Linked DNA regions of Macaca mulatta. The protein of the gene in region 1 purifies or fractionates together with the protein of each later gene. This does not show direct contact. Links are inferred from orthologs where the notes say so. Each region holds a gene or a part of one and is shown in the gene's direction. Other genes may lie near its edges.

Region 1 (3,500 bases):
AATACCTTATTCCCTGAGTACCATATAGACATGATAACATTAAACGTTATTTTGTTCTAAACACTAGTTTTGTTTTTAGTTAACTCACTTAAACTGCTAATTGTAAGCCACCTTGATTTAAATGCTAAGTGCTTTTTGGGGGGATTTTTATATCAACTTGTCAAATTTTCTAGAAGTTTAACCTGACCCACGTGTATAGTGTCAGTGCTAAGTAGTAGTTTTTATTAATGAAAAGTCTTGTTTTCATTGGCAATGTCAGACTTTTAGAGTAGATAACAAGCATTCTGTTGGCACATTTAAGAGTGGCCTTTGTAGGAGGGAAGAGTTCAGATAGCTTATATCTGGATTTTTTTTTTTTTTTTTTTTTAAGACAGTTTTGCTCTGTGATCAGGCTGGAGTGCAGTGACGTGGTCTTGGCTCACTGCAACCTCTGCCTCCCGGGTTCAAGCAATTCTCCTGCCTCAGCGTCTTGCGTAGCTGGGACTACAGGCATGTGCCACCACGCCTGGCTATTTTTGTATTTTTTGTAGAGATGGGACTTTGCCATGTTTGGCCAGGCTGGTCTCAAACTCCTGACCTCAAGTTATCCGCCTGCCTCAGCCACCCAATGTGCTGGGATTATAGGCGTGAGCTACCGCACTCGGCCATTATATCTAGATTTTGAAATCTCATGTTTGTTTACCAGTAGTAACAGGTGTATAGACGATCAGGTGTTATGACAGATAGCACACTTGTTGCTTCTGCTGTCAGGCATGTATATGTTTCTTTCTTTATAAAGACAGGCTCCTGAGTATGTAATGAAATGGGCCTGCAAAATCTGCAGATGACAAGGATAAACTACTAGACTTTTTTTTTTTAACTTGATTTATTGATGAAGACTAGTAAAAACTTATGGGGGTGGGGTGTTAAGTCTGTTCATTATCTGCTCTATTAATACTTAGGATACTTTATTTTGATATATTCGAATGCGTAGAGTAGATACCGTTTAATGAATAAGAAGCAGTTTAATTGAACAAGGTTGGAAACCTAATGTTTCTGTATTTCTCTTTTAAAGTTATTCCTTATTGATTTTGGTTTGGCCAAAAAGTACAGAGACAACAGGACAAGGCAACACATACCATACAGAGAAGATAAAAACCTCACTGGCACTGCCCGATATGCTAGCATCAATGCACATCTTGGTATTGAGCAGAGGTAAGTTTGAAAATGGAATGTGCTTATCGTAGCCACAGCAGAAGCCATCAATGGGTTTTTGAAATATTTCAGTTTCTTACAATGTCTGAGGATGTTTCTTGGCTGAGACTTTGAAGGATGCTTATTAATCATTTTACCTGCTGTTTTAGACAGTGTAGAGAAGACCGTTAAATGAGATCTTTTGAATTTGTTGTTGTTGTTGAAGGTTGTCTCTTGGGGGGAAAATACTGTGTGATATAAAGTTAGAAGCATAAGTGCAATGTTGACGTTTCTTTTTGCAGCTGAAGATAGTACGTATATTTTTGAAGCTATTCGGGACTTTTTATACTTTAGTAATTCACGTTGAGTTTGGGAAGAATGCATTATTTATTTTTGAAAGGAAAATGTTATCAGTATCCTAATAAACCAAAAGTGGGTTGATGGACCATCTCCTGTTATACTTCACTCAAATATGTAAATTAGTATGATCTAGTTTAAAGTAAAAAAGTGTCACAGTCTCTGCTCTCTTCCTGTTTCTTCACATGAGTTCTAGAGTTTCAAGTTCCTTTCGTCTTTTACAGTCACTTTTCGCTCCTTAAAACAAGCATAGAAGTAATTAGTGGGAAAAAGCAATGATATGACTCCAGGTTAAACAACCTCATACCAAGAATTTCAGGCTTAAGAAATATCCATGAATATCTTAATACTCTAGGTTAAACTGTAATGTCACTTTTTCCGTACGCCAAGGCATTACCTACACCTACCCTTAAATATATATATCTCTAAATATATATTTGTATGTATGTATATATAGATATGTATGCATGAATACATTCATATAGATGTTCAATTAGTTTAAGTCGTAACTCCTTTTCAGTGCTCCTGAAGTTTTTAAAATGAGTTTCTGCAAAACATAGGAATGTCATCCTGCTTGGTTCATTAAGCTCATTTAGAGGGTTGTTTAGCCAAATCCTTTTTCTTCTTTTAAAATTAAATTGTAAGATAGTTGTTTGTCTTATTTTGGATTCTGTGGGAAAAGTTTTGTTTAGAGGTAGGTAGCACACAAACTTTTTAAAATCACCTTAAATAAGTAGCTTCTTGCGTAAGACACCAAATAGTGTTCCCTCCTCATTTGGGAACATTTCTCCTGGGTACTTGGCTTTCTTTCATATGTTTTTCGTAATAATATTTCCAGTTTATAAAGTTACGTTCTCTTTTCTAGTCGCCGAGATGACATGGAATCATTAGGATATGTTTTGATGTATTTTAATAGAACCAGCCTGCCATGGCAAGGGCTAAAGGTAAACCAGACTCACGTTATCAGATTTTTCTGTCTCTTTTTTAGAATAAAAATATATATTGGAGAAGATAAGATTTAAGGTCCTTTCTAAGTCTGAGATTTTTCTGAGATAATAAAGAATTAACCTTAATTTACTTTTTACCTTTTATTTGGGAAAATGAAACCAGATCATTTTAGTAAGAACTTAGTTCAGCTGAAGAACAGTGTCCTCTGAGAGACAGTAAGCTGGTACCCACTGGTAGCCACTAGCTCTATCCAGATGGAAGTGGACATGGACTAAGAAAGGTGGAGACTTTCTCACGTTAATATGTTGCCATTATGTTGAAAATGTATGTTTTTATGTACAGCAAAACCTGTTTATCCAGCAACACATGTCCTAACATTTTGTTTCTATTAGCTAGGAGTTTACCATTACTTTTGTGAGTGTGTGTTAATGATAAATCACCGTGTCCTAATTTTGGGTGGGGGTGGGGGCACAGGGAATGGTCATGCTCTGTTGCCCAGGCCGGAGTGCAGTGACACAGTCGTGGCTCACTGCAGCCTCAACCTCCTGGGCTCAAGCAATCCTCCTGCCTCTCAGCCTCCTACCTGTAGCTGGGACTACAGGAACATGCCACCATGCCCAGCTAATTTTTAAATTTTTTTTGTAGAAACAGTGCCTCACTGTGTTGCCCAGACTGGTCTCAAACTCTTGGGCTCAAACAATTCTCCCACTTCAGCATCCTAAAGTACTAGGATTATAGGTGTGAGTCACCACTGTTGGTGTGTCCTAAATTTTAATGGCTATTTTTGTACCTTACCTGTTCTTTAAAGAAATACCTGTATTGATTGAGTGACTGTGAGCTAGTGCTCAGTCCTTGGGTAGGTGGCTTTATCCAATATGAGTATTTTCACTTTAGAAAAATATTGTGACTTATACAGTTAACTCCATTTATTAATGTCACTAATTGATGAACAAACTTTTTTTTGTATTAATCTGATGCCTTTGCCCTTGTGTTGAACATGGGTTAAGAAAATGCTTTTCAGG
Region 2 (4,054 bases), on another chromosome or scaffold:
AAGAAAAAGGCATATTACTGGCCGGGCGGAGTGGCTAACACCTTAATCTTAGCACTTTGGGAGGCCGAGGTGGGAGGATCACTTGAGGTCACGAGTTCGAAACCAGCTTGGCCATCGTGGTGAAACCCCGTCTCTACTAAAAATACAAAAAATTAGCTGGGCATGGTGCTGTGCGCCTGTAATCCCAGCTACTTGGGAGGCTGAGGCAGGAGAATCGCTTGAACTCGAAAGGCAGAGGTTGCAGTGAGCCGAGATCATGCCACCACACTCCAGCCTGGGCAACAGAGAGCGAGAGACTGTCTCAAAAAAAAAAAAAAAAAAAAAAAAAGACACATTACTTTCAATGAAAAAAAATTAAGTGTATAGGTGACTTCTCATAGAAGATAATGCAAGTCAAAATATAATAGAATGCTATTTTTGAAATGCTTTGTAAAACAAAGACAAAAACACACTGCTTAACTAGTATTCAGTACTCAGTAAACACATCCTTTATAAATTAAGGTGAAACAAAGATTCCTCCCTCCCTCCCTCCCTCCCTCCCTCCCTCCCTCCCTTCCTTCCTTCTGACAGAGTCTCACCCTGTCACCCAGGCTGGAGTACAATGGCACGATCTCAGGTCACTGCAACCTTTGCCTCCTGGGTTCAAACGATTCTCCTGTCCTAACCTCCCAAATAGCTGGGATTACAGGTGTGAGCCACCACGCCCAGCTAATTTTTTGTATCTTTAGTAGAGATGGGGTTTCACCATGTTGGCCATGCTGCTCTCCAACTCCTGACCTCGTGATCCACCTGCCTCGGCCTCACAAAGTGTTGGGATTACAGGTGTGAGCCAGTGCAACCGGCCTCTTTTCTTATCTCTCTCTTTCTCTTTTTTCTTTTTTTCTTTTTTTTTTTGAGAGGGAGTCTCGCCCTCCCCCGCCCTCCCCTCTCCTCTCCTTTCCTTTTTTTTTTTTTTTTTTGACGGAGTCTCGCTTGTTGCCCAGGCTGGAGTGCAGGGGCGTGATCTCGGGTCACTGCAAACTCCACCTTCTGGGTTTGAGGAATTCTCCTACCTCGGCCTTTGGAGTAGCTGTTATTACAGACCTCCGGTACCGAGCCCGGCTAATTTTTGTATTTTTAGTAGAGATAGAGTTTCACCATTTTGCCCAGAGTGGAAAGACATTTTTAAACAAAAAGAAAATAAGTTCCCTGGGATCCCGGAGTTAGGTTTGACCTTCCCGGTTCCTCTATCGCGAGATCTGGAAACCGGAAGTGAATTATTTTGCAGGCGTCTACACCAGGCTGTGGCTCTACTTATTAAAGTTGGCGGGAGCTGAGCGATCATTCGGGCCTGGGCAGGCCGTGGTGTAGTGCGTTGCAGGCAGCGCTCACCTCCTCGGGCCGGCAGAATGCGGGTGGCTGTGGCCGGCTGCTGCCACGGCGAGCTGGATAAGATCTATGAGACGCTGGCGCTGGCGGAGCGGCGTGGCCCGGGGCCTGTCGACCTCTTGCTGTGCTGCGGCGACTTCCAGGCGGTGCGCAACGAGGCGGACCTACGCTGCATGGCCGTGCCGCCCAAGTACCGCCACATGCAAACCTTCTACAGGTGAGGACGCGGTCCGGGCCGGGACTTGGCGGTGCGGCGTGGGACTGGGTTCGATTTCCCTCTGCCCCTGGCTGCCTGTTTCCCTTAGATCCTTTGTTCGCTCTGTGTCTTTAACTGGTACCTAACTGAATACAGGGGTGAGGTAGTGGGAGGCGGGAAATGTATTCAGTTAGGTACTGTATTCAGTTAGGTACCAAATTGTGTCTGCTTAACTTTCAGCACCCTGTCTCATTAGGAGCTTAGGAAATGTCACTTTCCTTCTTTCCATACACCCATCTTTATCCATTTCACACGGGATCGAAGCCTGGGAGGGGACAACCTGGAGGAAGAAGCTGACAGGTTTAGATAGCTACTTGATAGGACTCTGGAATTAGTTCATTTAGTGATCCTGGAGTTTTTACTGGGCGCCTGCTATGTGCTTGTGGTTCTAGAAAGATAAGGTTATGGCAGTGAACTCGACACAGTTCTTGACTTATTTGAACAGGCACTGACTTGAGGCCCAAGGTGGAAGCTCTTCATTCCTAAGGGCAAGGATGGATACTGGGCAATTTTTTTTTTTTTTTGAGACAGAGTTTCACTCTGTTGCCCAGGCTGGAGTGCAGTACCGCGATCCTGACTCACTGCAACCTCCGTCTCCTGGGTTGAAGCGATTCTCCTACCTCAGCCTCCCGAGTAGCTGGGATTATACCCTGCTAATTTTTGCATTTTTAGTAGAGACGGGGTTTCACCACGTTGGCCAGATTGGTCTCGAACTCTAGACCTCAGGGGATCCGCCCCCCTCGGCCTTCCAAAGTGCTGGGATTACAGGAGTGAGCCACCGCACCCAGCCCCGGGCAATTCCTTTTGAAAGAGCTTTTTAACTTTTTATGATGAGGTCAATTTCTTTTTGTTGTTGTTTTTTCAGAACTTACTTGCTTTTCTAGTATGCCCAATTGTGGTAACTGACTTTGCTCTTATGTTCTAGGTATTACTCTGGAGAGAAAAAGGCCCCAGTTCTCACGCTCTTCATTGGGGGAAACCATGAAGCCTCAAATCATTTGCAAGAGTTACCCTATGGTGGCTGGGTGGCACCAAACATTTATTATTTAGGTATGTGATTGTGTTTGTGGATAATTTTTTTTCCCGGGATGGAAGAGTCTATCAGGATTTGCGCTAGTTGGGCTGTGTCTTGACAGGTATGGTGTTTGGAGAATGTCATTAATTTAAATAGTTAATCATGAAAATTTAATTAAGATAGTTAATTATTAAATGGTTGATCATGATAATATGCCCTTCATCTAGTGTTTTAAGCACTAGCTAATATAATTGAAAGACCTCACACACTATTTGTAATCGCTTCATTTTTTTCTTATAATTTTTATTGAATTAAAAAAAGACCTTAAACTTTTATTAATAGAAATTCTTAAGCATACACAAAAGTAGAGTATAGCATGATGAATCTCAGTACCTGTTACCCAGCTTCAACGACTATTATATTGAAGTCTCCTGGTTTTTTTTTTTGTTTTTTTTTTCTTTTGTGGGAAGAGATGACTAGAGTATTTAAAGCAAATCCAACTGTTAGATTATTTCACTTATACATATTTCAGTACATGTTTTTAAGTGATAAGGATCTTTAAAAATACTACTACAGTACTGTTATTATACTTAACTGAAGTACTCATTATCTATTGCCATGTTCATGGTCAGATTTCCCTGCTTAACCTAGGGATGTCTGCTTTACAATTGGTTTAAATAGGACCCAGACAAGGCCAGCCCATTTCATTTGGTTGTCACGACTCTGAAGTCTATTAGACTATAATAATCTCCCTGTCTCTCTTTTTCATGCCATTTACTTGCTGAAGAAAACACGAAATTTGTCCTGTGGCATTTCCTGCATTCAGGGTTTAGCTGATTGGATTCCTTTTATCCTCTGCATTTCCTATAATCTGCTTTTAGATTGACAGATTTGATTAGATTGTTTCAATATTAGTCCCTATAAACTATATAGCCTTTTCATCCCTTTATTTTTCGAGACAAGGTCTGGTTCTGTTGCCCTGGCTGGAGTGCAGTGGCTCCATCTTAGCTCATTCATCTCAGCCTCTGGCCTTCCAGGCTCAAGCCATCCTCCCACCACAGCCTCCCAAGTAGCTGTGACTTCAAGCGTGTACCACCATGCCTGGCTAATTTTTTTGTTTTTTTGTATTGTTTTGTGGAGACTGAGTTTGGCCATGTTTTCCACGCTGGTCTCGAACTCATAAGCTCAAAGTGATCTGCCCACCTGGGCCTCCAAAGTGGTGAGATTACAGGGATGAGCCATCCCACCTAGCTTCATCCCTTTATTTAAATGTATATTCTTTCTAGAACTGTTTATAGGTTTTACCAATGATGAGATTGTAATTTCAGAAATTTAGTTTCCCTACTTTGCTACTTATTGATCATCTTTTGATGTATTCGTTCTATATTACAATATTGTGAAAAAGTGAAATTGTC
Region 3 (3,968 bases), on another chromosome or scaffold:
ACAGAATATTAATTTAGTCAATGGATTGCATGCCAAAAATGAGGAAGAGAACTGAAAAAAATACTAACAAGTGAGATGTGAAAATTAGGAACAGAAGGAAAAAAATAAATACATAAAACAAGACAATTCTCTACATGCTTTTGAAGAAAAGAAACTACAAATCAGACACCAAGATTTGGAAGATTAGCTTTGTAATATCCTGGAATTTGCTTTTACTTTCCTGACTTTGCCCTTTGCTCTGATGTTTCAGTATCCAGACTAATGCGAATTTCATTCTTCAGTTTAAATCAGCACATCAGTTAGGGATTAATCCAAACCTTAATGGTTTAGCATTTTCCTAAACTGTTTAATTACGGGCAAAATAGCCATGAAAGTCATTTTTAAGGGTCAATTCAATTTTATGATAATTTATATATTATGCCAGAAGCTTAAAATATGCCTATTATTACCCTAAATTCCATTCTTACAATACTAGGCTGCATTTTAAACATTTGCTGCAAATGACTATATCTTGAAGTCTACGTGATTACACAAGTTATTGTAAATACTCATGACAGATTTACTGAGGTGTAGGCAAGGAAATGAAAAAATAAATTTTATTATTTACTGTATTTCATGTTAAAACTAAATTATACTGTCTCTACTTCCGTAACATTGCTCCGCAGTATCCCACCTAGAGTGACCTGCTTTTGACGCACATCTCCCTATTTTAAACAATATCCTTTCATCCCAAATCTGTAACTAGGACAGTTGAGAGTCAGTACCAAAATCTTTGATGATATTTGAAATTGTGACGGGGCGCGGGGGCTCACGCCTGTAATCCCAGCACTTTGGGAGGCTGAGGGGGGTCGATCACGAGGTCAGTAGATCAAGACCATCCTGGCTAACATGGTGAAACCCCCGTCTCCACTAAAAAATACAAAAAAAATTAGCCGGGCGTGGTGGCGGGCACCTGTAGTCCCAGCTACTTCGGAGGCTGAGGCAGGAGAATGACGTGAACCCAGGAGGCGGAGCTTGCAGTGAGCCGAGATCGCGCCACTGCACTCTAGCCTGGGCGACAGAGCAAGACTCCGTCTCAAAAAAAAAAAAAAAAAATTCTTTTACATAAAAAAGGTAAATGCACAAGCACTTTTTCTTGTACTTTTCCACTCCTCACGTCGTCTCCAAGCCTAAAAACTCTCTTAGGCGTTGAGAAGGAGTCTGCACTGCGGGATGCCCAGTGGAATTACCTACTATGGATGAATCCGCCCCACACTCTCCAGGGTGCTACAACCCTTGCTCTCACCCCGCCGTCCCCAGGCCTGTCCTCCAGGCATTCATGAGCCCAGGGAGAAGCGAGGCCGGGACTACGGCCCCGCTCGGCCTAGATCCGCCTTCTTCCCAGGTGAGCGTCGCTGTCCTCCGGGATCGCTCCTTGCCCCAGCCCAGGAGCAGGGTGTCGGGACTTGTAATTGCCCCGTAGCCCCGAGGGCGGGCAGGAAAGAAAGGCTTTTTCATACTCCGCCGGGAGAGGGTTGGGTGGTTGAGTTCAGACAGGTTCCGAGCGCTTTCTGGCTGTTTGGGGTTTGGCGTGCCACGACTAGAGACTTGTTGTAACCCGTCTCCACTCCCGCCCCCTCTAGCGCTGCACCTCGGTCTCGGGGAGGCGCGGTTCGAGCCGGAATCAGCCTCCCGCCGCCGACTTGACGCTGGGCAGGTAACTCCCCTCCCCTCCCCGCCCTCGCCCGGGCGCTCGCTGCTTCCTGGGAGGCAAACCTTCGGCAGCGGGCGCGGTGTGGCGGGCGCGGTTGCGCGCGGCTTAGGGCGCTCCTGGCCGTAAGTGGGGCTCGGGCTCCCCTGCCCCGGACCACGGCGGGCGGGACCCCAGCGGGCGCAGGGTTGAGGTGCTTGGGGTGCTGGGCGGGGGGGGGCCCAGGGCTTCACCCGCCCTTGGCCGGCGCGGCTGACGGGAGGGATAAGGGCCTCCCCCTTGGGAGCGCGCGCGGGATTGGAAGTTCCCCAGGGTGCAGAGCTCAGTTGCTTTAGTCTTTTCTACGTTTCTTTCATTGTCGTGTGGGTGCGAGTGAGTTGAGAACTTTGAAAAGTTGTCTCGGGCGGAGTCGGTTTGGGTCCCCAAAGGACGGGCGCCGCCGCTCGTGGACGCTGGATTTGTTTCCTCTTTCCCAGTGTAGGAGTGCGCCGAGGACCCCGGGAGAGGAAGCGGGAGGAGAGACCGCTGGGAAGAGTCTCGTGGGAGGAAATCCAGGGTGGAAGCGGAGGACGTGGGGGTGGAGGGTTCCGGGAAAAGGTGGGAGACCTTAGGTCGCTGAGGGGCGTGGGTGTTCTTTAGATCCGTAGTGAGGAGCAGAACTTGAAAAGACAGTTTTTTTCACACAACCTCTTAATTGTACAGGATCCCGTTTCTGAGTGCAGACTGGTAGCGACCTGTGTTTTTCAAACTTGGGTCGGCCTGAGTCTAGGTCTGTGTGCCCTAGCAGCTCTCCAGGAGAAAGTCTGTACCTACCAAAGTTTGAGAACCACTGCTCTAAATCGTGGTGAGTGATCTAGAGGAGGAGAGTATGCCTAGAGCAGGTTGCTCCTGGAACGGGACTTGGAGACTTTTGGCCTATTCTGTGTGATATGTGGGGGGTCTTGCCTGCATAAGGTGAGTGAAGAGGCAGGGAATGTGCCTGTGTTCATTGCAGGGGTCATAGGTATGTCAAGAGACAACAGTGCTTTAGAGGAGGAGGCTGGGAGGTTATGGGAACACAAGTTAGCACGTTGTCTATGCTTGGAGTGGTGAGGTTATAGGGTCTCTCTGACCTAGACGTGGAAATGAGAGCTCAGGCGGCCAGAACACTTAAGAAGAAGGTGTGCGGGTGGCAAGCAGTTGAGGCGAGAATTTAATGCCCAACACCTTATGTCCAAATTCCCATTTACAAACATCTTGCCAGGTTACTGGCAGGCACCTCCCTTCTTTCCCTTTCTCATCCTAACAAGTGCAAGAGCCCGGAGGAAATCCATGACAGAGGCTGAATCATTGCTGACTAGCATCAGGAAAGGAGACAGTGATGAAAGGGACTTAGAAGAGAAAGCTGGGTTTTTTTTTGGGGGGGGGGGGTGGTGGCGGAGGGAGGCTTCAAAATGATTGACGAATGAGAATAATATGAAATAGAACGATGGAAGGTTGGGAGTGCCGGTCTTTGTTGCGTTTGTTTCTTTCTGTCTTCCTATAGTTCCCAGAAAAGTAGAACTCCCCACACCTTCCAATTGCAAATTCCACCCCCTTGCCTTTGGGGCTCAGGCACACGTGGGGGGGTATACACCTATTTAGGGTGCTGGCTACACCCTCTAGAGCCTGCCTAAGGGGCTGGGTGGATCCTGCCTTTAAAGCTGGCAGGCTCTAGACCGCAGATGCTGAGAATTTATTGTGGGAAGCATTACCAATTGAACAGTTGCTGAAAGAGATTGTGTAGATGCAGACAAACCACACCTCTGGCGCTGACTCAGTGATGTCTTTTACGTTTATGCCCTTGAGTTTATGACGCTAACTGGCTAAACTTTTTTGGGATGAATTAATTAATTTTATTAATCTTTCTATTTTATTCCCTCTAGCGTCCACCGTTCTTTATAGTTTAAGGTGGAGGTTCATTCACTGAGTATTTTCTTGACCATGACTCACCTTGCAGCAACTCACCTACTTGTTTCCCATTTAATTACATTATACAATACTGAGTTGCCAAAATGTAATGTTATTATACTTTTAAGTGTCCAGAATCTTGGGGTAAAAAACTGTGATCCCATCAAAGCAGGACTCTTCCAATACATAAATCTAGTTGGATGAGACCTTTTGAAAAGAGGCCACTTAGCTTAGTTTAATTAATTATTGGTAAAATTTCAAGTTATCCTTGTTTAGCTAGTTAGGTAAGTTGCACATCTGTCCCTTTATAAGTTGCAAAATGTGAATGTCCCATGGATGTTTCACAATT
Region 4 (3,500 bases), on another chromosome or scaffold:
CTGGTCTTCATTTCGTCTTGGGCATTGCATGCTCAGCCTCCTGGCGGAGCAGGGCGAGATCCGCCTGCCCAGCTGTGGGAGCCTCGAGGACTGGGTGGGGAGGGAGAGGGAACATGCGGTTGGGATGAGATGAGGTTTCAGTCCAGCCTTGCCAGCCTTTCGGGTAGTTGTGGGTCTGGCTGTGTCCAGGGTGGGGCTTTGTCCCCGTGATGATCTAATGCGTCCTCACCTGAGAGCCATTGTTCTCCTTCCTGTTCCTGTTGACCCGAACAGACCGTGGTAGGGACCGACATTGCGGAGCTTCTCTTACGAGACCACAGAACAGTGTGGCTTCCTGGGAAGTCGCCCAATGAAGCAAACCTGATTGATTTCACGAACGAGGCGGTGGAGCAGGTGGAAGAGGAGGAGTCTGGCGAGGCCCAGCTCTCTTTCCTCACTGGTGGTCCGACGGCTGCTGCCAGCTCTCTTGAGAGAGAGACGGAGCGGTTCAGGGAGCTGTTGCTGTATGGCCGTAAGAAGGTGCGCCTGCCCATCATGGCACCTGGCGCCTGCAGGTGTCCACTGGGTCGGGCCTGGTGCGGGCGATGCAGCCGTTGGGGAGGGACACGGCCCCTCTCGGGAGCGTCCGCGCTGCGGTGTGGGGCTTCGGGTCTTGCTGTTTCGTGAACGATGCCGGCCTCTTTTATGCCATCCTTCTGGAGGTGTTCATGTGGGTTTCCTTCTAACTATTTCCAGTGTTGGAGACCTGCAGATGGAATTTTCAGTCATTCAATAAATGCACGTGTTGAGCACGGGCCGTGTCCCTGCTGTGTGTGCCAAGTCTCAGATGAGACATGCATGACACGAGTTTTGGCATTCTCACAAAGTCAGGCTCGAGTCCACAGCCCAGAAGTCGTTGGGAGTTGGGAGGACGCACCCAGCCTGTCAGAGGCGCAGTGCATGGAAAGGCCACGGGCAGGGGAGCAGCCAGTGCGTATAGCGTCCAGTGACTGGGGCCACAGCAGCCTGGGGACCAGGGCAGGTGGGGGACCTGAGACAGGAGCCTGCTCTGGGACAGTGGGATTGGGGGGTCCATAGCGACTGCAGCAGGGACAGTGTGTTCACAGGAGGGCCTGTCTAGGGCGCATGATGTCCGCTTTGGATGTGCTAAGCAGGAGAGAGGCCAGTCTCACGGGCATGTGTGGCCCTGAATAGCAGAGACATTGGATAGGCCCAGAGCTCTCCGTCCTTTTATATCATGATAAACTCAGAAAGGGCATATTTGGCCAGTACTTTTATTTTTTTAGTTTTATTTTTTGAGACAAAATCTCGCTCTTGCCCAGGCTGGAGTGCAGTGGCGTGATCACCGCTTAATGCGGCCTCGACCTCCTGGGTTCAAGTGATCCTCCCATCTCAGCCTCCTGAGTAGCTGGGACTACAGCTGCACGCCGCCACGCCGGGCTAACTTTTTTTTTTTTTTTCCGTAGAGACGGGGTTTCACCATGTTGCCAGGCTGGTCTCGAACTCCTGGGCTCAAGCAATCCGCCCGCCTTGGTCTCCCAAAGTGCTGGGATTACAGGCATGAGCCACCGCGCCCGGCCTGATCAGTATGAGTCTATTATGGATGTTTTATAACTGATTGAAGTCGTGTAACCTGTTAGCTTTTATTAACATCTTCCTCTACTGTAGCATTTTTGCCTCCTAGCCTGAAGTCCTAAATTATACCCTAGATGATTTTGGCGAAAGGGGAGGCTGCCTTACTGGAGCCACTGTCTGTGCTGACGGATATTCGTGGAGGCCTCCTGTTAGAACCGGGGAATTGACCCGCGTGTGTTTCCCAGTGGACGGGGCGGCGTGGTGGGCAGTGCGGTGTGGTTAGCCCTATTTGTGATTAGCGTGCTTATGTTTTATGCTGAAAATGGATAAAAGCAGCAAATATCTACAGATACCCACTACCACAGGGACTTTGAAACTCAGGAAAATAGTGAAATGCTGACGTGTCTTAATCTCCAAATGGTGAATAAGTTTTTGAGGCCTTTGGGTTGTTTGTGTATCTGCTGCTGCGTGAGGACACATGGCCTGTCGCCTGTCTTGACTCATGTCACATGAGCACCACCGATAACTCACCAAGGCCCCTGGAATGCCTTTTGCAGGATGCTTTGGAGTCTGCAATGAAGAATGGCCTGTGGGGTCACGCTCTGCTCCTTGCAAGTAAGATGGACAGCCGGACACACGCCCGAGTCATGACCAGGTACAGTCCCACGGTGGCCTGGTCCAGTGGCGAGCCCTGCTGGCTCCCTGCAGCACGCAGCGTCCACACTGGTGGCAGGTGGCAGGTGGCAGGCAGATCTCACTTGACTGTGCTGTGCTCCCACACGAACTCGGGCTTCCTTGGCTTCAGGCTTCCTTGGGTTGTGCTGTGGAGAGCTTAAAAAGTTTTTTATTAACCGCATGGTTTTTAATACTTCACATAAAATCTCAGTGAATTCCTTAGTCTTCATCTTTTTTTTTTTTTTTTGAGACAGAGTCTTGCTCTGTTGCCCAGGCTGGAGTGCAGTGGCGTGATCTCGGCTCACTGCAAGCTCTGCCTCCCAGGTTCACGCCATTCTCCTGCCTCAGCCTCTCGAGTAGCTGGGATTACAGGCGCCCGCCACCATGCCCAACTAAGTTTTTTTGTATTTTTAGTAGAGACGGGGTTTCACCGTGTTAGCCAGGATGGTCTTGATCTCCTGACCTTGTGATCCGCCCGCCTTGGCCTCCCAAAGTGCTGGGATTATAGGCGTTAGCCATTGCACCCGGCCTAGTCTCCATCTTTTATAGCTTTTTCTTTAAATTTTGAGTTTTGCTCTGTTGCCCAGGCTGGCGTGCAGTGGCGCAGTCTCAGCTCACCGTAACCCCTGCCTCCCAGGTTCAAGTGATCCTCACGCCTTGGCCTCCCAAGTAGTTGGGACCACAGGCATCCACCACCACACCCAGCTAATTTTTTGTATTTTTAGTAGAGATGGGGTTTTGCCATGTTGGCCAGGCTGGTCTCAAACTCCTGGCCTCAAGGGATCTGCCCACCTTGACCTTCTGAAAGTGCTGGGATTACAGGCGTGAGCCACCACACCTGGACTTATCTTTTACAGCTTTTTTTTTTTTTTTTTTAATATTGAGATAGGGAAAGAAAAATAAAATACTGAGATATGTGTACTTTGCCTAAGTGAAATATAAGTCTAATCATTACATCAGAGGGCTGAGGTCTGGTTTTTTTTTTTTAATTTAGTTTATTACTATTTTATTTATTTATTTTTTTGAGATGGAGACTTGCTCTGTCGCCCAGGCTAGAGTGCAGTGGCACGATCCCAGCTCACTGCAACCTCTGCCTCCTGGGTTCAAGCGATTCTCCTGCCTCAGCCTCCTGAGTGGCTGGGAATACAGGTGCATGCCACCACACCCAGCTGATTTTTGTATTTTTAGTAGAGACGGGTTTCTCCATGTTAGTCTCTAACTTCTGACCTCAGGTGATCCGCCCGCTTCGG
Region 5 (4,202 bases), on another chromosome or scaffold:
TGCCTGCTTTGGCCTGTCGGGGTCCTCCCTGGTGCCCCATGCCCCTCACCCGCTACAGCACAGTTGCCTGGGCACTGGTCTGACCCCCCACCCATGTTTCCAGCATACTGGTACCAGTGGGGTGTCACTGAGTGTCTGGGGAAAGAACAAATGAAACTGGGAGTGACCCTGAAAACAGAAAATAGGATCACATGGCAAGAGGGACAAACAGAAAGGTGACTGATACCATCAGAAAGCGTTCAGGCAGGGCCAGTCCTTGGGGTGGGAGTGGCAGGGGTGAAGGGTGGTGGTTTGGACAGGTAATCCAGTGCAGGGCAGGGCCTAAGTGGGGGGAGAGGCCCTAAGTGAGGGCCTGAGGGGGATTTGGGGGTTCTGGAGCACCCAGGGGCAGCTCGGGGTAGTGTGTGGGGTTGCTGTGTTCATGCGGGGGCGTCTGGTATGTGAGGCTTGGTGTGCACACTGGGTCCCTTGTCCGTGTTGGGGCTTGGTTTTCGCGGGGTCCCCGAGTGTACACCCAGGGTTCTATATGTGTGAGGGAGGTCCCCTGGTCTCTCAGAGTCAGTGTGAATATGGCATCCCTGTTTGTGTGTGGGATCGGTGTCTGAGGGCTCTCATATGCAGGTGGGGTTCCCTACGTGTGCGGACGTCAGCGTGTTTGTGGGTGACTGAAGTGGATAGGACTGGGTGTTCTTGTTGGGTTCTGTCTTCCTGAGGAGTCTCCTGTGCTTGGGGGGTTGGTGCACACGAGGGACAGGTCATTCGGGGTCCGCATGTGCATTGGGGGTCACTGCAGCAGAGTCCCCTACAAGTGTGGGCATGGATGTGAAGGGATGAGGGAGAAAGATGGGGAACCCCAGGTACTTGTGGGCATCAGTGTGTGTGTGTGGTGGGGGTCGGGGCCTGGGGGTCCTCTGTTGGGCGGGATCCCCTCTACGTGTGGGACGCTGGTGCGGTGGGAGACCGGTGTGTGGTGAATGGATCCCCTGTGCTTTCGGGGCTCCCAGACCCGGCCCCGCCCGGGGCTCGACGCCGCCCCAGCGCCCTCACCTGCCGCACCTGCCTTCACCAACTCGGCGAGGAGGTCAGAGCTCCGCCCCTTGCGTCGGGCTGGCTTGTTTCCTAGCGACTGAGCCGGAACTTCCGAGTCACCCCAACTTCCGGGGCGAGGGTCAGGGGTCAGGCTAGGAACTTTGAGCCTGGGGTCAACAGTTGGGCTCCTGGGGGTCGAGGCCTTTGAAGTGGGGGCCTCACGGTCTCCGGCGGCGCTGGGCCGGGGTTTCTGGGCACGTGGCCGCAGGGCACGGGCGAGTCGGGGCGGAGGGTCGGGGCGCGGGCCGGGGGCGCGGTCCGGGGCGGGCGGCGGGGCCGCGGCGGGCGCGGGGCGCAGGAATGCGGGCGCGCCGCGGGTGGGGCCGCTCCGCCCCCAGGTGCTGCCCGGGCAGGCAGGAGGCAGGAGCGACGGGCGGGGCGGGGGCGGGCGCGTGAATCAGGCCGGGCGGGCCGCGGCAGGGAGTGGCTGCCGGACCGACCGGACCGCGAGGCCGCTGGGCGGCGGTCGGCTCCTGCTGCCCCTGTGCCGAGACCCCGCGCACCTGGCCAGGTAGGGCCCCCCTCCCCCGGCCCGGGCGGGGCGAGGCGGGGGCGGGCGCCCCTCGGTGCGGTCCCACCTGGGCTACCCTCGCGCCCGCACCTGGGCCGGGGCCGCGCGACCCAGAGAGGGGAGGTGGGAGTGGAGCGCGGCCGCGTGCGCGGGGCCGGGGCGGCGGGTCAGCTCGGACAGGGGGCGCCGCTGTGCGGATATGGACGCGAGCGCCCTCGCACGACGGCAGCCCGAGAAGAGCCGAGTGGGAAGCGGCCCGGGATCTGGGTCGAGCCTGCCTGGCCGTCCCGACTCGCTGCTGCCCTCGCGGCCTAGCTGGAGTCTGGGTGCTGGGCACGGCCTGGACCCTTCCCTGGGGACGCCCGCCCGGGCCACCGTGGACTGGGGTGGCCAGGGTGCGGCCTGGATCCCCGCCTGGCAAGCAGGGCGAGTGACGGGAGGGCTGCCCGTAGCGCCCATGTTCCAGGGCTGGGGTGGGTGGATGGGGCACCCAGCCGCCGCAGCCGCGAGCTCGCAGGGTGCACTGACCCCGTTGGGGGCTGGGGTGCCCACCCCGCAAGCTATCACTGAGCGACTTCCGGTCTGTGAGCCCTGTCCTCCGCACCCCACCTTTCCGCCTCCTAGAGCCTCCGCGCCCTCCTGGGCCCATCGGAACTTGGCACAGGCTCACCCCACTTTGTGTAGGAACTCCGGATCCTTCCATGGGGTCCTCCTTCCAGATACTCAGGAACCCCACTTCCTGCCAGGGTGGAGAGGATGGGGTCCTTGAAGGCCAGCTGAGGGCCCTGACTTCGAGTCAGAGGTCAGGGGTCAGCAGCAGAAGAGTGGATTCGTGCTGAGTCATTGGCCATGGGTGGGTTCCGTGCCCTACCTCCCTTGGGCAAGCGTTTGGTAGGCAAATGTGTGGGCATGCAGGCCACTGGGGTGCTCCATCTCAGGCTTGGGAGTGTCTGCGGCCCCGTCCATAGCCCAGCAGACACGTACCCATGAAAGGACACGATGTGAGGAATGAAGCCATTGGAGGTCTGGGCATCACCCTGTGATGATGAGGGGTGTCTGCTGGGAGGGCTCCTGGCAACGGGGGATTCCACAGTCCAGATGATCCCTGCCCCCATTACACACAGCCTGGAGCCTGGATGCTGTGTGGATATCCCTCCCCTGTGAAATCCTAAGGGACAGTGGGGGTCCTTTCTAGAGTGTCCCCCAGCGTCGGGAAGTGCCCTCAAACAAGGTTAGCAGGGTTGTTCCCCCTGCCCTGTATGGTCAGACACCGCCCCTACAGCCAGGCTGGCAGTGGTGAGTGGGCGCCCCGGCCCAGCCAGACAGGCCTACACCTCACCCCCATGTGGTTGGCCTCGATCTGCCCTAACGAGCCCCATATGTCAACCATGAGGACAATGCCCCAACAAAGAAATGTTGGGACAGCTTCTCCCAGGCCAGTTGGCATCTGGGGCTGTTGAGTGGCACCAGGTATTTCCCATGTCCCAACTCCATGTCACCCCCGGGGGTACCAGGCAGGACGGCGGCCTCCTGACCCCAACATTCTCAGCCTAGTGGCTCCGGTTAGCACCCGTGCAGTCCAGCTGGCCAGCGCCCATCCTGTCAGTGCCCCAGGGCACACTCCTCTGTCTGGGCTGAACCACCTTCCCAGCCAGGGCCAACATTCGGGAACCTGTGTGCTAGGCGGGGATAGGTGTCCTGCCTCCCTCCCCAACCCGAGGAGCAGTGGGATGGGCTGAGCGGTCCCTAGGGCTCTCCTTCCAGGGAGAGGTACCCAGGTAGCTCGGTGACCCCAGGCGTGGGCCCTGGGTGCGCCCCATCTGACCTTTCTGGAGAGGCCAGGCACCCTGCAGGGACCCTTTGGAGAACAGATTGGGCTGTGGGGCAGCCAAGTATGGATGATGGTGGGGAGCCCAGGACCTGGAAAGGTCCCTGCTGCCCTGGACGGGGGGCTGGTGGCAACAGGACTCTGAGCAAGTGGAGAGCCAGATCTGGGCGATATGGAGTGCAGGCCCTGCAGGGCCCTGTGGGCACCAAGGGGTTGTGGTCCAGGGAGGTGTTATCTGAGAAGGACAGTGACAAGAAAGGTCAAGGGAAGGAGGGGGACTGGTAGACAGAGACAGAGTCTAGGGGTCAGTGTTGCAAGGCTGGGCAGTCATAGAATGGGCTGTGGGAACCCAATTGTGAAACCCTGGGGATGGGGAGGAGGTGTCGCCCGGGGCTATGCGTAGGGCTTAGGGTTGCCATTCCAGGAGGAGGGTGGTCACAGCCCTGTTTGCTGCGCTCACCTTGGCTAGGCACGGTGTCTTGTGGACCCTCAGCTGTGTTGTGCAGTAGAGGTAGGCCAGAGAGGTGCAGTGACCTACCCACGGTTTCCCAGGCAGTCAGGGACAGACACATGCCAGCATGGGTGGCACCAGCTTATCCAGTAGGCACAGTGCCAGGGGCCTGTGAATGTCTTAAGAAAAAAGTGAATACTATAATGATGAATACAGCCTGGATTATGTTTGTCTTTAAGCCAACAGTCATAAAATGTTTTGGGGGGCGGTTGGTTTTATTTTCATTTTTTGTAGCGATGCAGTCTCTATCACCCAGGCAGGAG
Region 6 (3,500 bases), on another chromosome or scaffold:
TTCCTAGATAGGAGTGGAACTGTGAAATAGTCAATGAAATCTCTTTAGGCTGAGCTTGGGCTGCATTCTGGGTCTCACAAGGCTAAGATTGGTAAAAGCATATGCATTCTGTTCCCTCCTGCCTTCTGGTCCATCCCAGTTCACAGTCTTGGCCAAGGACACTCAGCTGCTAAGTGGAAGCAGTCAGGATCAGGACTCAGTGGACCAAGCAGGCCTTCTAGGGTTCTCCAGCTTAGAAATGGGGTGGAGAGGTCTCATGGGCCCATTCCGTGCACATTCACATCCCCAGGGTGTGGAAATCCACATCCCCAGGGTGTGGAAAGAACCTCAGGGTTTAGATTGGGGAAGAACTAGACCATTAAGCCTTGTGGTCAGGTAGCTTTGTCTAGGTTTAGGTCTTTTTCTTGGGGAGACATGAGCTAAAGCAACTGCTCCCAGGGCCACAGTATACTGTGTCTTCTCTGGCACCAAGGAGAGGTAGTAGGGCATTGCTCTGGAATGTTTCCTTTAGGAAGTCTTTCTAACAAAATTATCCTGCCATTACCCTGGGTCACGCCATCTGTTCTGTCTTGGTTTCACCTGGAGCTGGGCCTTCCACCCAATTCTCTCCTTCTGGCCATATTCTCTAACTTACAGTTAGGGATATCTGTAGCTGCCCTTGACCAACTGGAAGCTTCTGTCCACCTCTCCCACCGCAGACAGTGGCAACCCTGAGCATACTGGGAACTCGGCGAGTAGTCTCCATCCTGGGTGTGGAAAACCAGGCTGTGTCCCTGGCTGCCTGCCACCTACTGCAGGTTATGTTTGATGCCCTCAAGGAAGGTGTCAAAAAAGGATTCCAAGGCAAAGAAGGCGCCATCATCGTGGGTGAGTGGAAGCAGGTCTGGGGTCTTTTGGATGTTACTGTCATGGAAGGGATGGGGCTGAGCCAGCCAGGCCAGTTTTTTGGGGACTAGAATTGGAGCTGCAGGTTGTTTGGAATACGGTTTGGTGACATTATTTTACTCTAGATTCTCAGCAGCCAAGGTGTCTCAGGACAAAGCTGGAGCTCAGTCTGGAGCCTGGGATGTGGATCCCCCCTTCCCTGTGTCTCCCTGGTTTGTTGAAGTTCAAGGGCCAAACAGGGCTGGGCTGCTGTGGAGCCCACTGATGTCTTCTTGTTGCCAGATCCTGCCCGGGAGCTGAAGGTCCTCATCAGTAACCTCTTAGATCTGCTGACAGAGGTGGGGGTCTCTGGCCAAGGCCGAGACAATGCCCTGACCCTCCTGATTAAAGCAGTGCCCCGGAAGTCTCTCAAGGACCCCAACAACAGCCTCACCCTCTGGGTCATTGACCAAGGTAGGTGAAATAGTTCACAAAAACTTGCTTGGGCAGCTGAAGTTTGTTTATCCTTAGGAGTAGTAAGAAAAGTTGTGAGTGGGGCCAGGCATGGTGGATGATGCACTTTGGGAGGCAGGGGGTCACTTGAAGCCAGGAGTTTGAGATTAGCCTGGGCAACATAGCAAGACCCTGTCTCTATGAAAAATTTAAAAAATTAGCTGGGCATGGTGGTGTGCGTCTGCAGTCCTAGCTACTCCAGAGACTGAGGTGGGAGAATTACTTAACCCTGGGAGGTCAAGGCTTCAGTGAGCTATGATTGCATCACTGCAGTACAGCCTGGGCAACAGAGGGAGACCCTGTCTCAAAAAAAAAAAAAAAAAAAAGGAAGAAAAGTTGTGATTATCTCCAGCCATGTGTCTGCACTGAAGTGTGTCCTTTGGCCCAGGAGGATGCTGGAACTGAGAAGATCTTCCAGAGCAATGGGATTCAGCTCTTGCAACACCTACTAGACATAGGAGCTACCCTTAGGGGGCTCAAAGTTAGACTCTTCTATCATATGTGTGTGCAGATACATGCACATTGAATGGGCCTGCAAGCAGGTTAGCAGAGAGGCTGGATTAGCTTTCTGTATCTTTTTTTGAGATGGAGTCTCACTCTGTCGCCCAGGCTGGAGTACAGTGGCACAATCTCAGTTCACTGCAGCCTCCGTTTCCCAGGTTCAAGCAATTCTCCTGCCTGAGCCTCCCGAGTAGCTGGCATTACAGGCACACATCAGTATGCCCTGCTAATTGTTGTATCTTTAGTAGAGATGGAATCTCACCATATTGGCCAGGCTGGTCTCGAACTCCTGACCTCAAACAATCCACCCACCTTGGTGTCCCAAAGTGTTGCGATTACAGTCATGAGCCATTGCGCCTGGCCCCCTTTTTTTTTTTTTTTTTAGTGAGCATGTATTACTTCCATACTTAGAGGAAAAAATAAAGGTAGATATATCAATTCATCTCTCTTTTCCCCTAAAACATAAATAAGAGCTGGGTGCGTTGCTTCGTGCCTATAATCCCAGCACTTTGGAAGGCCGAGGCGGGCAGACCATGAGATCAGGAGTTTGAGACCAGCCTGGCCAACATGGTGAAACCCCATCTCTACTAAAAGATACAAAAAATTAGCCGGGCGTGGTGGCACGCACCTGTAATCCCAGCTACTCTGGAGGCTGAGGCAAGAGAATCGCTTGAACCCAGGAGGTGGAGGTTGCAGTGAACTGAGATCGCGCCATTGCACTCCAGCCTGGGCAACAGGGCGAGACTGTCTCAAAAAAAAAAAAAAAAAAAGATAAATAAGAAAAGCTCTGCAAAGGCCCTGCATGAGCAGGGCCTTTCACAATGATCCTGTGAGGTGTGGATATTGTGTTCACAATGATCCTATGAGGTGTGGATATTCCTTTCCCCTTAGTTTTACAGATGAGGAACCTCAAAGCTCCAGAGCATTTGGCCCCAGGGGCAGGGTTGGCATGCAGGCCTCACTTCTGAGGTCCTTCCCGATCCTATAGCTGCCTCCCTTAGGTAGCAGATCAGCTAAGCAGATTCTCTGGGCTGCCCTGGACGCAGTTGTCAGAACTCTGTAGCCTTCTTGTCTTGCTTTTCTCCGCATCTCCTAGGAAGCCTCTTCCTTTTACTTGTAGGGGTTGTAACTAGTGTTCTAATTTCTAAATGGGGTGTCTTTTCAGGTCTGAAAAAGATTTTGGAAGTTGGGGGCTCTCTACAGGACCCTCCTGGGGAGCTTGCAGTGACCGCGAACAGCCGCATGAGCGCCTCCATTCTCCTCAGCAAGCTCTTTGATGACCTCAAGTGTGATGCGGAGAGGGAGAATTTCCACCGACTCTGTGAAAACTACATCAAGTAAGGAAGTCTGTTTCACCTCCTGTTGCCAGGGATTCCAGCAAAAAAGTTCTGACTCCTTGAGGAGGGGCAGAAATGAAAGGTTTCCAGCAGAAAGAGTAGGCTTAGGGAGGACTAGTTGGGGGCTGGACGAAGGGAAAGTGGCCCCAAGGCCCACTTCCTGTTCCAAAGTGGCCTCCCCGGGGAGGTTCTTTCTCAAATCAATGTTCCAGTAATGCAACAAATGCCATCAAGCACGTACTGGGTTTACCAAGCACTTCCTACGCATCTGTTCTCACACAGGTG
Region 7 (3,500 bases), on another chromosome or scaffold:
AAGTCATTGACTAATCCTACGCCAATACAACAGCAACTGAGACGCTTCACTGAACATAACTCCAGTCCAAATGTCAGTGGAAGCCTCTCCTCTGGGCTGCAGAAAATATTTGAAGACCCCACTGACAGGTATGAAAGAGAGGACGTGACCAATATCTCAGAGAAATATAATGTTCAGATTTAGCAGAAGTATATTCAACCTGTTTTTTGAATTTACAAGTTTAAAATTATGAGCAATTGAAGACTCATCTGACCTGAGAGCAGTTCAATTATTTGTCATTATAATGCACAAGATCTGGGATAACTTATTTTCTAGAATGGTAGTATAGAGAGTTATAATATATTCCCCAGCATATTTTTAAAATTTCTGTCTTGCTTAGTGGAAGACCAAAGGCTTTATGAAATTCATGTTTCTATACGTTATAGCATTCAAAAACCATGGAGAACCTCGGTGAAAACCATTTTATAGCTGGCTATGTCAGCTGGACAGGTAGATACAATGTTGATGCTTAGACTGTGTTATGGATTGGCAAGATTTGTGCCTTTAGCAGGGACCTTGCAGTTGTGTACTTAGAACTTCTCTTGAAGGTTTAGATAAGTAAGTATGAATTGGAATATTTCAGGAAGGTTTAAAACCTAACTAGGAAATTATTGGAATCCTGGTTAAAACTGAAGACAGTGATGGGTTGGTATCTACAGTGTTATTCTCTACTTTTGGGGAAAAAGTAAAAATGCTGGATTTTATTCTAACAATTGTAATAATTCCCTAATTATGTAAAATCTGAGTTTCCAAAGAAATGTATGTATCCACATAAGAACCTTCAGAGGAGTTCACATGCCTGAATTGAGGCATCTTAGCCATGTTGAAGTTGTCTCAAGAGAAATTAAGTGTCCTTTCCTTTTCTACAGTGATTTGCATAAACTAAAATCTCCAAGCCAGGACAACACAGACAGCTACTTCAGAGGGAAAACATTATTGCTGGTTCAGCAAGCCTCCTCTCAGAGCATGACTTATTCTGAAAAGGATGAAAGGGAAAGTAGCCTTCCTAATGGTCGGAGCGTCTCCCTCATGGACCTCCAGGACACTCATGCTGCTCAAGTGGAGCATGCATCTGTCATGCTTGATGTGCCTATACGCTTGACCGGAAGCCAGCTTTCCATAACCCAGGTGGCCAGCATCAAACAGCTGCGGGAAACCCAGAGCACTCCCCAAAGTGCACCCCAAGTGAGAAGGCCCCTGCACCCAGCCTTGAACCAGCCAGGTGGCCTTCAGCCCTTGTCATTCCAGAACCCTGTCTATCACCTCAATAACCCAATTCCAGCAATGCCAAAGGCCTCTATAGATTCCAGTTTGGAGAACCTAAGCACTGCCAGTTCCAGAAGCCAAAGTAACAGTGAAGACTTCAAGCTTAGTGGACCCAGCAATAGCAGCATGGAAGATTTCACTAAACGTAGCACTCAGAGTGAGGACTTCTCCAGGCGGCACACTGTGCCAGACAGACACATACCTCTTGCTTTGCCACGACAAAATAGTACTGGGCAGGCCCAGATCCGAAAAGTGGACCAGGGTGGGTTAGGTGCCCGAGCCAAAGCCCCACCATCCCTGCCACATAGTGCTTCCTTACGTAGCACCGGGAGCATGTCAGTGGCGTCCGCAGCCCTGGTGGCCGAACCTGTGCAGAATGGGAGCCGGTCCCGGCAGCAGTCCTCTTCCTCCAGAGAGAGCCCTGTTCCCAAAGTGAGAGCAATCCAGAGACAACAGACACAGCAGGTAGGCACGAGTGCTGAAGGGGCGTGGCTTCTACTTGGTCCATCTGTTTCTTTGGTTCTTTATACGTAAATCATTGGGAAATCCTATTGTTAACAATATTTCCACTTAAAAGCAACCTTTAAATGGAAAGAGGAAAGGAAAATTTGGGGAAGCTTCTGCCTAAGTGAGACTGCAGAATGAAGTTTGACTCATTACCCTTAAAAGTCTAACAAACACGCAGGGGCCCCCTTCTCTTCAAGCAGCAGAGCTACTACCTCAGTTTACACTTAGAACAAATCGGTGATGTTGAATGAATAATTAGATACTTAAAATCTGTAGGCAAAACCAACTATTATTTTGGGAATCTGAAAATTAATCCCTCTTAATTTTTTTTCTTAAGCTTCCAGAATAAAGGTTTGCATTCTGAGCCAAGAGTTTAATGTGACTGCTCTCCATTCCATCCCTCAACTCTCTCTGGAAATACAAAGTCCCATGTGCCTTTTCCTGGAAATGGCTAGAAAAATAAACACTTGAACACATAGAGAGTCAAGGTAAAGGAAAGATTAAAAAGATAGAAGCACAGGGCCGGGCGCGGTGGCTCAAGCCTGTAATCCCAGCACTTTGGGAGGCCGAGACGGGTGGATCACGAGGTCAGGAGATCGAGACCATCCTGGTGAACATGGTGAAACCCCGTCTCTACTAAAAAATACAAAAAACTAGCCGGGCGAGGTGGCGGCGCCTGTAGTCCCAGCTACTCGGGAGGCTGAGGCAGGAGAATGGCGTGAACCCGGAAGGCGGAGCTTGCAGTGAGCTGAGATCCGGCCACTGCAACTCCAGCCCGGGAGACAGAGCGAGACTCCGTCTCAAAAAAAAAAAAAAAAAAAAAAAAAAAGATAGAAGCACAGGTGGAAAAGGAAGTATTCTGAACATTTGCAGATCCCTTACATTTCTATTTACATGGACAAGCCCAGCTAACATCACATCCAATCATAATATAAGATTTTCTGATTTTTTTCTTGACAAATAAAAAGCTTTGCCCAGAAATTAATCATTTCTTCCTTACATATTACATTTTGAAGCATCAATACATATTTTTCCCTTTGAAACAAACTACTGTTAAATATATATATACACATTCATGTAATTTTTCATATATATAACATATATCTTTTTATATCTTTCATCTAAAAAGATTTTTCTCCTGAAAAAGCATTGTGTTAGTTGAATTTTTTTTGAAACCTAATGATAGTACTAGAAAGTTTGAGATTAAAAGAGTTCTATGACAAATCCTTTTATGCAGCAAAATAACTGGGGAGGGAGACTGCAATAAAATCCTAATTTGTATCTGTAATATATTTGCATTTTTACAGTTTAGGCACTTACTGATATGGCTGCGTCTGCCTCCAGTCTGCTATGATCAGAGCCCCTTACACCTACTTTGATTTTTTTAATTGGATTATTTATAGAATCCTTGGATACAGAAATAGAAGAAGGGATGAAAAGCATGACTAACAAACTGTTTCTGGAAGCAGACTTCCTGGGCTAAACCTCCTACTTGGTCATTTTTTACTGAGTAATAAAGTTTTTCTACAGTCTTAAATTTTTCATTTTTATTTTGTTATATTTCCCAAAGATTTGATTTAGTAAGCATTTGTATTTGAAGAAAAGGAAAAATACGTATCTTTTATATGTATCATATGTATTTTTTATACATAAATGTGTGTGTATATATAAACATAAAATGTATGTGT

Evidence for each region.
Region 2: the proteins of CSNK1A1 (region 1) and DBR1 purify together in Homo sapiens (affinity purification with mass spectrometry; 3 studies listed by BioGRID and IntAct, with this or other methods). This does not show direct contact. The link is inferred for Macaca mulatta from reciprocal best matches to the Homo sapiens genes CSNK1A1 and DBR1.
Region 3: the proteins of CSNK1A1 (region 1) and FAM83B purify together in Homo sapiens (affinity purification with mass spectrometry; 5 studies listed by BioGRID and IntAct, with this or other methods). This does not show direct contact. The link is inferred for Macaca mulatta from reciprocal best matches to the Homo sapiens genes CSNK1A1 and FAM83B.
Region 4: the proteins of CSNK1A1 (region 1) and SEC16A purify together in Homo sapiens (affinity purification with mass spectrometry; 5 studies listed by BioGRID and IntAct, with this or other methods). This does not show direct contact. The link is inferred for Macaca mulatta from reciprocal best matches to the Homo sapiens genes CSNK1A1 and SEC16A.
Region 5: the proteins of CSNK1A1 (region 1) and FAM83H purify together in Homo sapiens (affinity purification with mass spectrometry; 9 studies listed by BioGRID and IntAct, counting the BioPlex papers as one, with this or other methods). This does not show direct contact. The link is inferred for Macaca mulatta from reciprocal best matches to the Homo sapiens genes CSNK1A1 and FAM83H.
Region 6: the proteins of CSNK1A1 (region 1) and UNC45A purify together in Homo sapiens (affinity purification with mass spectrometry; 4 studies listed by BioGRID and IntAct, with this or other methods). This does not show direct contact. The link is inferred for Macaca mulatta from reciprocal best matches to the Homo sapiens genes CSNK1A1 and UNC45A.
Region 7: the proteins of CSNK1A1 (region 1) and RASAL2 purify together in Homo sapiens (affinity purification with mass spectrometry; 4 studies listed by BioGRID and IntAct, counting the BioPlex papers as one, with this or other methods). This does not show direct contact. The link is inferred for Macaca mulatta from reciprocal best matches to the Homo sapiens genes CSNK1A1 and RASAL2.

What each region holds. Positions count from the first base shown.
Region 1 is NC_133411.1:158,474,086-158,477,585, reverse strand, and holds part of CSNK1A1 (casein kinase I), read left to right. Parts: intron 1-1,054; coding exon 1,055-1,194; intron 1,195-2,395; coding exon 2,396-2,474; intron 2,475-3,500.
Region 2 is NC_133407.1:41,170,391-41,174,444, reverse strand, and holds the start of DBR1 (lariat debranching enzyme), read left to right. Parts: upstream 1-1,254; 5' UTR 1,255-1,388; coding exon 1,389-1,585; intron 1,586-2,549; coding exon 2,550-2,674; intron 2,675-4,054. UniProt on the Homo sapiens protein: Cleaves the 2'-5' phosphodiester linkage at the branch point of excised lariat intron RNA and converts them into linear molecules that can be subsequently degraded, thereby facilitating ribonucleotide turnover.
Region 3 is NC_133409.1:127,437,690-127,441,657, reverse strand, and holds the start of FAM83B (protein FAM83B), read left to right. Parts: upstream 1-1,168; 5' UTR 1,169-1,815; exon of another isoform or gene 1,816-1,819; intron 1,820-3,968. UniProt on the Homo sapiens protein: Probable proto-oncogene that functions in the epidermal growth factor receptor/EGFR signaling pathway. Activates both the EGFR itself and downstream RAS/MAPK and PI3K/AKT/TOR signaling cascades.
Region 4 is NC_133420.1:6,037,235-6,040,734, forward strand, and holds part of SEC16A (protein transport protein Sec16A), read left to right. Parts: intron 1-273; coding exon 274-519; intron 520-2,132; coding exon 2,133-2,230; intron 2,231-3,500. UniProt on the Homo sapiens protein: Acts as a molecular scaffold that plays a key role in the organization of the endoplasmic reticulum exit sites (ERES), also known as transitional endoplasmic reticulum (tER).
Region 5 is NC_133413.1:154,097,724-154,101,925, reverse strand, and holds the start of FAM83H (protein FAM83H), read left to right. Parts: upstream 1-1,402; 5' UTR 1,403-1,600; intron 1,601-2,312; exon of another isoform or gene 2,313-2,453; intron 2,454-4,202. UniProt on the Homo sapiens protein: May play a major role in the structural organization and calcification of developing enamel. May play a role in keratin cytoskeleton disassembly by recruiting CSNK1A1 to keratin filaments. Thereby, it may regulate epithelial cell migration.
Region 6 is NC_133412.1:80,853,810-80,857,309, forward strand, and holds part of UNC45A (protein unc-45 homolog A), read left to right. Parts: intron 1-698; coding exon 699-867; intron 868-1,167; coding exon 1,168-1,338; intron 1,339-3,043; coding exon 3,044-3,215; intron 3,216-3,500.
Region 7 is NC_133406.1:35,888,847-35,892,346, forward strand, and holds part of RASAL2 (ras GTPase-activating protein nGAP), read left to right. Parts: coding exon 1-128; intron 129-908; coding exon 909-1,770; intron 1,771-3,500. UniProt on the Homo sapiens protein: Inhibitory regulator of the Ras-cyclic AMP pathway.